Mus musculus: one gene and its partner. The protein of the gene in region 1 interacts with the protein of each later gene in a pairwise test. Links are inferred from orthologs where the notes say so. Each region holds a gene or a part of one and is shown in the gene's direction. Other genes may lie near its edges.

Region 1 (4,693 bases):
CTTCTCATCCCCTTAAGAGGCACCTGTTAAGTGTAGTGGCCAAATGTCTATGCATACATTCAAGAAGCAACCTGCTGGGCATGGCAACACAGGGCTGCATTACCAGCCACTAAGGAGGGCAAGAGATTAAGACCAAAAGTTCAAGGCCATCCTTGGCAATTTTTCAGCGTCCCTGTCTCAAAATAAAGCAATTGGAGATATAACTCGGTGGTGGAGGGGCTGCCTAGCATGAGTTAAGTCCTTAGCATGAGTTAAGTCCTTAGGTTCAGTACCACAAGAGGGGGAAAATGACGCTCCCTTCCAAAATTTGAGAGAGACACATACTATGGAATATTTAATCTGAATTGTGTAATCGGATTCCCATCCTCCCCGAAAAGCAACTCAAAGCCAACCAGTGCCAGGAACGTGTCATCATAGCAGCCCCTGCCAAACGTTACCATCCGCCAGGCGCAGCACACAGGTCCAACAAGGCCCGGGCTTTCTGCAGGAACTGAAAGCGGCGATTGAGCTGGATCAGTTTGAAGGCAGAGCGCGAACGATAACCTGGATCGTGGAGAGTGGGTGTATAAGGCAATACCGTCTACGGAGGCCTTTCCCAGGAGGAAAGCCTCACAATCCCATAACCCCCTCGAAGGAAAAGGAACTCGGGACTAGAAGAAGCGAAAAGACGGGGATGTTGTTCCTCAGCGCGAACCCACTCACCAGTCTCCTTGGCCAAGTGATAGAACTTGTCCCGCCGGCTCTTGCCTACTTTGCCTTTCTTGCCCATGGCGGGATGGGGGAGTATCACTCACTCTGGGGAGAAAGAAAAAGGTGAGATCGTCTTTCCGAGCACTGGATCTCGCTTCGGTTCCTCAGGCGGTGGAGCAATCACTTACCCAGACGTTAGATAGCCCTTAACTCCGCAGGTTTTCAACTCTTAGGAAGCAGCACATGTAGGCAGTAATCGTACTTCCGCTTCTGCGCGCGTTTCCTACATTCCTGGCGTCATGATTTCCGCCATTTTGAGTGTGGCCAAAATTTTTTTGTCAGCAGGCCTTACAAGTTAAAAGTAGAGGCTAGGAAGTAGAGTGCAATAACTCGTATCCTAAACGCTAGGAAGCATCAACCAGAAGTTCTATATCTCTTCACAAAACTAGTGACCTCCAGTAGAGCCTCTACTAATACAGCCACTGTGTTTGTATCGCCACACACCCCGCCCATTGACCCGGAACTGTTCTCGGTGGTGACCCAGGGCGCATGCTTTCGCCTCCGCGCCTGCGCGATAGAGTGACTTGGATGCCGGCGATCCCTGCCGAGAGAGGGAAGATGGCGCTTGATGGGCCAGAGCAGGTAAGGATTCTGCCGCGGCGGCTGGGCGGCATCCAAGCTGAGTGTGGAGTGCACAAAATCTGAAGTGAGGGGTGGCCACGAGCGAGAGGGTCCAGTGGATCAGGGGTGGGTGGATCACGTCAGACCGGACTCTGCCTGGGACTGGATCTGCTGTGTCAGCGCCGCCCTGAGGAAAGCAGGACAGGGGTGGGTGGAAACTGAATGAAGCTGGCAAGCCGGAATGGCCTGGGCTTCGACCTGGACTTGGTCCCTCTGTTCTGCCTTTGTCTGTAGTAGTTAAACCCTGGGGATGTGTAGCTCTAGCCACAGGGCAGTGCGCTCGGTGGGTATATGGCCCCTTGAGACTCCTAAAAGTCCTCGAAGGTAGGCGGTAATTGCATCCTTGTAGTGGATTCAGAAATGAAGGCTTAGAACCAAGAACTAAGCCTCCGAAGTTCAAACACACAGACCTCGCCCATCGAGATACCAGTTTCTGAGGAAAAGGGAATGGTATTTTCCTGACCTTGTTTCTTAAGCTATATGGTAGAGTGCCTCGAAAATACTTTGGCTTTACCCTTTAGTACTTTATGCCTTTTCTTTTTCTTTTCTTTTCTTTTCTTCTTTTTTTTTTTTAACACTTACACTTGTCTTCAGATGGAACTGGAAGAGGGGAAGGCAGGCAGTGGACTCCGTCAATATTATCTGTCCAAGATTGAAGAACTCCAGGTGAGTACAGACAGCAAAGGGAGCTAGTGGAGGACGGGAGCTGGTAGGTGCAGATTTCTCTGTGTCCTTTTTCCACTGGGAGTGCAGCAAAGAGTTCTTTTCCAATGTTGTTCGTTTGCAGCTCTTTGCTTGTCTGTTTCTTATGTGTATATGTATATATGCCTGCGTAAGCTTATGTGTATCACATATATACAGATGTCTGTGCAAGTCAGAAGAGGGCAGTGGATCCCCTGAAACTTGAGTTACGTACAAATAGTTATGAGCTACTACAGGTGCTGAGAACTAAACCCAGGCCCTCTGCAAAAGCAGTAAGAAACCCTCTTGACTGCTGAGCCATCTCTCCAGCTCCTTTGTAGTCAGGAGGTACCAAGCTGTGTAAGGTAGATTGATAATCTCTTTGATGGGAATAGTGTTTAGTTAGGATTTTTTGTTTGTGTGCTTGCTTGCTTGCTTTTCCAGGTTTTTCGTTTTATGTGTTTGGGTGTTTTGCTTGCATCCAATGTCTGTGCCCTACATTTGCCTGTGAAGGCCAGAAGACAGTGTAGGATGCCCTAGAAGTGGAGTTATAGAAAGTTGTGAGCGGCCATGTGGGTGCTGGGAATCGAACCCAGGTTCTCTAGAGGAGCGGCTGGCTCATTTATCCACCTCTCCGGGCCCAAGAGTCAAATATTACACCTGTAAGGTTGCCACTCCAGAGCCGAGGCAGGAGCAGTGTTTTGAGTTTGAAGCCAGTCTGGATTACGTACAGCCCTGTCTGGAAAACAAAACCACCTACAGAGGAACCACTGGCCAAAGGTGGGAGTGGGAGCGAGAATGGGTTTGGGAGGGAAGCCGCAGAGAGAATGCCTGAACCTCAGGCACATTTGCAGTTCTTCCGTTTAGTTTACTTTTTCTTCTTTAGACAAATGTCTCACCATGTACCCGCAACTGACCCACAACTCCCCATGTAGACCAGGCTGGACTCAGTCTCAGAATTCGCCTGCCTCCCAGGTGCTGGGATAAAAGCATGAGCCTCCACACCCAGTATGGTTTTTATCCCTTTTTAATGCTTCTCTATGTGATTTCATCCCTCCTGGGTCTGAAATGAAGCAGGAGAGTGGATGCTGTTGTCTGTCTTCTGTTGTCTTGCCTTTGTCTTATTTTTGTTTATTTAATGGATTTGTTAAAATAGAATCTCATTGTATAGCCCAGACTGGTCTGACACTCTCCAGCTCCCAGCCTCAGCCTCATTAGGGTTGGAATTACGAGCCTGTGTCATCATGCCTACCTATTAGACTAACTGTTTTTCCTAATTTTTGGGTTTTTTTTTTTTTGTTTTGTTTTTTCCTAATTTTATATTTTGAAATCCTTATCACCACCACCACCCTAAATACTTAAATACAACCTGTTCAGTCTATATAATGTTACCTGTATGTATATGCTCACTTGGTATTGGATAACCAAATGGGGGTTCCTCCTTGGAGAAGTCTGTTGTCCTCTTAGCATTCCTCAGGAGCCCTTAATTCTTTGTCTAGGGTTGAGGCGCCATGAATGAACCTCTCCCCTCCGGGTTAGCAAGCAAGCCCGTTGGTGTCATCAATGCTCAGGACTTAATTTAAGCAGCCATATTGATGAGATTTCATGAGTGTGGCCTCTGACATTTCTAAGAGACAGTCTCCCAGCAGACTTTTGTCTCTCTGGCTCCTGGAATCTTGGAGCTCCGAGCCTTAGGTGTAGGGGTTGCGTTGTACGTGCGTCAGTTGGGACCCGGCACTGCTGAGTCTCGGTCTCTACATTTTGATCAGTTGTGGTTGTCTGTAATTGTCTCCGTTTGCTGCCAAGAGAAGTTTCTTGAGAAGGGATTAGAACTACATTTGTCTATAGTAAATGCACTGCAGTTAGGAATGATGCAGGTAAAGTGGTGATTGTAGGTTCTCCAAGATCCATAACTTAACTAGCCCAGGGTAGTTGGCTATGTTTCTAATACCAGGTGTGGTTTTCCTCCTGTTAAGCAGGCTGCAAGTCCAATTTGAGAACTGTTGGGCGCCACCACAGTAATCGCGGTTCATAGGCATCGTAGCTGAAGAGAACTGTTGGTTGCTCGCCCCCCCCCCCCTCCTGCCCCCGAGAAGCTTGTGTGGCGCCTTAGGGAAAAGGCAGCCAAATCAAGTGCTCTGGGTCCTGTGTGTGAAGTTGAACGGTGCCTTCAGCAATGGAGTCGTGCTTCACTCCTCGGGAGGAGGGGGCACCACGAGCAATAGAAATTGCCTGTGTTTTAGGTGGCTTCTCAGACGTGGTGGGTTTTTATTAACCAGTCCTGAATGGAGCATTATCAATCCAGATGGGAAAATTGCATTTAACTACAAGTATATCCACAGCTTATATGCATTATATATTATGTAGATAGTAATGCCTTGATGACTTTCAAACGTCCTTACTATCTCACCTTGCTCTTTCCTCCTGTATTTCTCTTCTTCCTGCTCTCTAATTAAAGTTCCCCCCGTTCTCACTTTCCCTACAAATCACTTACACCCGTCTGTTACACATCCACACACACACACACACACACACACACACACACCCACCATGGTTTGTGTGTCACTTCCCTGGTTTCTGCAGTCACTCCAGGCTATATACATACTTCAGAAGATTTGCAGCTTGGAACTGACTTCCCTTT
Region 2 (4,220 bases), on another chromosome or scaffold:
TAAGGAATTAGGGATCCTGGACAAAAAGCCAAGGGAGGAGGCAGAGCAAGGGAGGCCAGGCAGAGGGCCTCTTTATGAACTTTGGGGTGGGAACTGGCTGATATCTAGCTGTGACTTCATCTTCTGGCCCCAGAGTACCTGGTACAGAATGTCTGCAAGTCCTTCCGAGAGACATGCCAGCTGCGACTGGAGGACCTTCTACGGCAGCGCACCAACCTCTTTTCACGGGAGGAGGTGACCAGCTACCAGAGGAAGGTAAGGGCAAGAGACATGAGGGAAGGGAGGGCACCACCACACGCGGGTGCGGTGCGGGCGCGCGCGCGCGCACACACACACACACACTGGTAGAGCCCAGATATGGCGTCTTTCACAGGAATGGGGGTAGCAATAGGGTATCACAGGCTGGCTAACAGGTGTGACTGTCTGTATCCAGGCAGCAAGATGACTATTTCTGTAGCTCCTGCTTATTGAGATTTCACCTAGTTAGCAACCTACATCCTCTTCCACCCAGACCTTGCCACACTGCCTTTCATCCTCCATCAGTAACTGATGCTAATCAGTATCTGAGGGTCATTTACTGGACACCCTTTCCTGTCAGGCATTGTAATAGAAGCTTTGAATTGTGTTCAACCTGCTGTTTGTGAACTACAAGTGTCTAAAGATAGTGATAAATGTGGCCCAATGCAAAATCATGAGAATGTTTTTGGTTGGTTGATTGGTTGGTTGGTTGGTTGGTTGGTTGGTTGTTGGTTGGATGTTGTTGGTTATTTGGTTGTGGTTGGTTGTTGGTTGTTGGTTGGTTGGTTGGTTGGTTGGTTGGTTGATTGGTTGTTGGTTAGTTTGGCTGGTTCCAAGACAAGGTTTTGCTGTGTAGCCCTGGCTGTCCTGGAACTTACTTGGTAGACCAGGCTGGCCTCGAACTCAGAGATTCACCTGCCTCTGCCTCCTGAGTGCCGGAACTAAATGTGTGCACTACCACCACCCAGCTCTAAAATGTGAGATTTTTAGAAACTTGATTCTCAGGTATAAACTTTGTAGATAACTATGTCAAATTACAGTGTCAGAGGCTAGACACACCTGTGAGATCATCCTCAGCCCGTCCAACAACTGGCCTCTGAGAACAGAATTTACACTGAGGGAGAAGTACAGAAGATCATACAGAGATGGCTCCACAGTGTCTGCCACCCCTTCTGTCACACTCTGACAGTACCAGAGGCTCTGAAGTCAGCTGGCACTTCACATTTGCACCTCTCAGTTGCTGAGACCTTCTTCAGGAGGAGCAGTAATTAACAATGTGTACACTGTTTGCAGGTGAAACTGTATCATGTATGGTTTCCCTTTCTCCACAACAGCTATCACAGTGTTGCAGGAAAGCCATCGCCTCCTATCTGGAGCCACTCCCTGGGAATCCGGGAAGCTCTCTGGCAACCTTTTCTCTCCCGTAGCAGAATCCTAATACCTAGTATTGAATGGACTTCACAAGAGACCAGGTTATCAGGGAGAAAGGAGTTTGAAGTTAAGAAATTAGAAGTTTTCAACCCTTATATAAGTCTCTGGGATTCCTTGTACTGAGCTGGGGATAGCAGTAACTGTAACTCACTGACAGGCACTGACCCTGGCTACATTTGTGCTAATAGGCTCTATGGTTGACAACAATATACAACTCATACCCTAAAGTTTATGGGGTGCAGGGGCTTGGGGGGATCACAGGTCTCCTCCTCTATCCCCGCAGTCAATGTGGGAGATGTGGGAGCGCTGTGCCCACCACCTCACTGAGGCCATTCAGTATGTGGTGGAGTTTGCCAAGCGGCTTTCAGGCTTCATGGAGCTCTGCCAGAATGACCAGATCATACTACTGAAAGCAGGTGCACAGGGATTGGCAGGCCCTGGGGGTGGGGGTGGAGCATGGGCTGGGGATGGAAGGACAGACCCAGGGCCAAGTGGAGGGAGGTGACTTAAGGAAATCAAGACACCGAGGGCTTAACAAGACACTGGCTCTGCTTAACATGGCCTACCCATCTTTCTCCCCTTTATCCAGGAGCAATGGAAGTCGTCCTAGTCAGAATGTGCAGGGCCTACAATGCCAACAACCACACAGTCTTTTTTGAAGGCAAATACGGTGGTGTGGAGCTGTTTCGAGCCTTGGGTGAGGGCAGTGGGAATTGAGAAAGTCCTGATGCCAATCCTATCACAAGCCTCTCTACATGGTTGTTTGCCCCCTGCTCTAAACACCCAAGAGTGGCATCCTTGGGGGAGAGGGGAGGCAGCTACCATGCTTACTCTCTTCATCTCCACTCCGGCAGGCTGCAGCGAGCTCATCAGCTCCATATTTGACTTTTCCCACTTCCTCAGCGCCCTGTGTTTTTCTGAGGATGAGATTGCCCTCTACACGGCCCTGGTTCTCATCAATGCCAGTGAGTGTGGCTGGGCATGGGAGCGGGCACTCGTGGCTGAGACACAGCAGCTAATGGCGAACCTAGGCCTTTGGATGTGACTAATGGGAGACTGCTTGAAATAAGGAAATGAGCTCTATCCCGTGCTTCTGTAAAATATAACAGACTAAAGTATGCAGAGGAACCTTAAGACAGGGCGAGGATAGCATACAGTGGGGCAGTGGGAACATGGAGAAGGGAGGTTGGAAGGAAATGAGCCACTTCCCCAATAGATGTTAACCTACTAGCCAGTGTAGGGCAGTGACTCCTTTACAGTACACATGGGAATCACCTAGGGAGCTTTAAGGACTAATTGAGTCCCTGGGTCCCACGTCCAGATTTTGACATAACTCATCTAGGCTGCACCCAAAATTTTAAGTCACCTCCAGATTGAGCCACTAAGACTGAGAATGGCCACTTGATGTGAGCTCATTTTGGGACAGAATGCCTATACTGGCAGTAGAGCTCTGGGTCCAAGCAGCTGAACGATAAATATTCAGAGGACCTAGGGGAGTGGGCCTGCTGCTCTGGGTTGGTTAATGACCATGCAAGCCTTCCAGCTCTACTAACATGACTTCAAGCTAGAAGCAAGACTTCTAGCAAAGGGAAAGGTAGCTTAGGGGCTGAAAGAGAGCCACTGAGTACGTTAGAGTCCTTGGTAAGAAGGTCACCTCTCTGAGTCACTCCTGTAGGAATGAGGAAGCTCTCTTCTAACATTTTACTTCCATGACAGAAATCTAGTGCCTGACATTGAATAAGCTACATGAAAGGCAGGTTACCAGGGACAAGGTAGCTAAAAGTTAGTTAGGAGATTAAAAGTTAGTTAAGGCTTGTATGGTCATTAACCATCCCAGAGCAGCAGGCCCACTCCCCTAGGCCTTCTGAATATTTATCGTTCAGCTGCTTGGACCCAGAGCTCTAGTGCCAGTATAGGCATTCTGTCCCAAAATGAGCTCACATCAAGTGGCCATTCTCAGTCTTAGAATGTCTCCCCACCCCTTTCATCTCTGCCCAGTTTCCCTAGTAGTTAGCTCGACAGGCCTAGAGTCATACAGTTTGCTGTAGTCAAACCAGTACACACATGTGCGCACACATGCATGGGGGTGGGGTGGGGAGGGACAGAGACACAGAGAGACAGAGGCAGAAAGAGACGGAGACAGAGATTCTCTTCAAAAAGATACATGACACCATTTTGTTGGTCACGACTGTCTTTGTTGTTTCCGTTTCACTCTGGTCCCATCCCATCCCTTCCTTCAGACCGTCCTGGGCTCCAAGAGAAGAGGAGAGTGGAACATCTGCAATACAATTTGGAACTGGCTTTCCATCATCATCTCTGCAAGACTCATCGACAAGGCCTCCTAGCCAAGGTAGGAGCAGTCCACAGGGTAGAAGAAACTAGGCCCACTGCCAGTTGTGTGACATCAGGGCCAGGGTCTTCGGGTGCAGAGGAAGGAGTGCTGCAGTGCTGGGCTATGTCAGCGTTTGCAGCAGCTGTGGGCCCTGCTGGAGCATCTGTTTCCATGTACGAAGGGATGGAAAGTTAGTGTGGAGTTAGAAGAGACCTCCAGGGAACAATTCAGTTTAATATAGCTGACACTTACCCAGCACCTGCTTATACAAGGAACTGTGGAAAGCTACAGAGATGCAGTTCTTGTCCCCACTAAGATATTCTAACCTCTTAAAAAGAGACTTGTGTACCTTCTAATATAATGCTAATATGGGGTAAAATATGTGATATTTTAACAGTGAGGTTAACAAAGTGCTTTCAATGATATCTCTTATCCTAAT

The links. The genes of interacting proteins can lie anywhere in the genome.
Region 2: the proteins of Psmc5 (region 1) and Rorc interact in binary tests that used the Homo sapiens proteins (3 or more experiments, as listed by UniProt). The link is inferred for Mus musculus from reciprocal best matches to the Homo sapiens genes PSMC5 and RORC.

The regions. Positions count from the first base shown.
Region 1 is NC_000077.6:106,254,883-106,259,575, forward strand, and holds the start of Psmc5 (26S proteasome regulatory subunit 8), read left to right. Parts: upstream 1-1,302; 5' UTR 1,303-1,308; coding exon 1,309-1,332; intron 1,333-1,965; coding exon 1,966-2,037; intron 2,038-4,693. Other genes in the region: pre-rRNA 2'-O-ribose RNA methyltransferase FTSJ3, read right to left, coding at 438-543, 703-769.
Region 2 is NC_000069.6:94,389,342-94,393,561, forward strand, and holds part of Rorc (nuclear receptor ROR-gamma), read left to right. Parts: intron 1-133; coding exon 134-255; intron 256-1,058; coding exon of another isoform or gene 1,059-1,118; exon of another isoform or gene 1,119-1,732; coding exon 1,733-1,865; intron 1,866-2,038; coding exon 2,039-2,146; intron 2,147-2,303; coding exon 2,304-2,414; intron 2,415-3,689; coding exon 3,690-3,799; intron 3,800-4,220. UniProt on the Homo sapiens protein: Nuclear receptor that binds DNA as a monomer to ROR response elements (RORE) containing a single core motif half-site 5'-AGGTCA-3' preceded by a short A-T-rich sequence.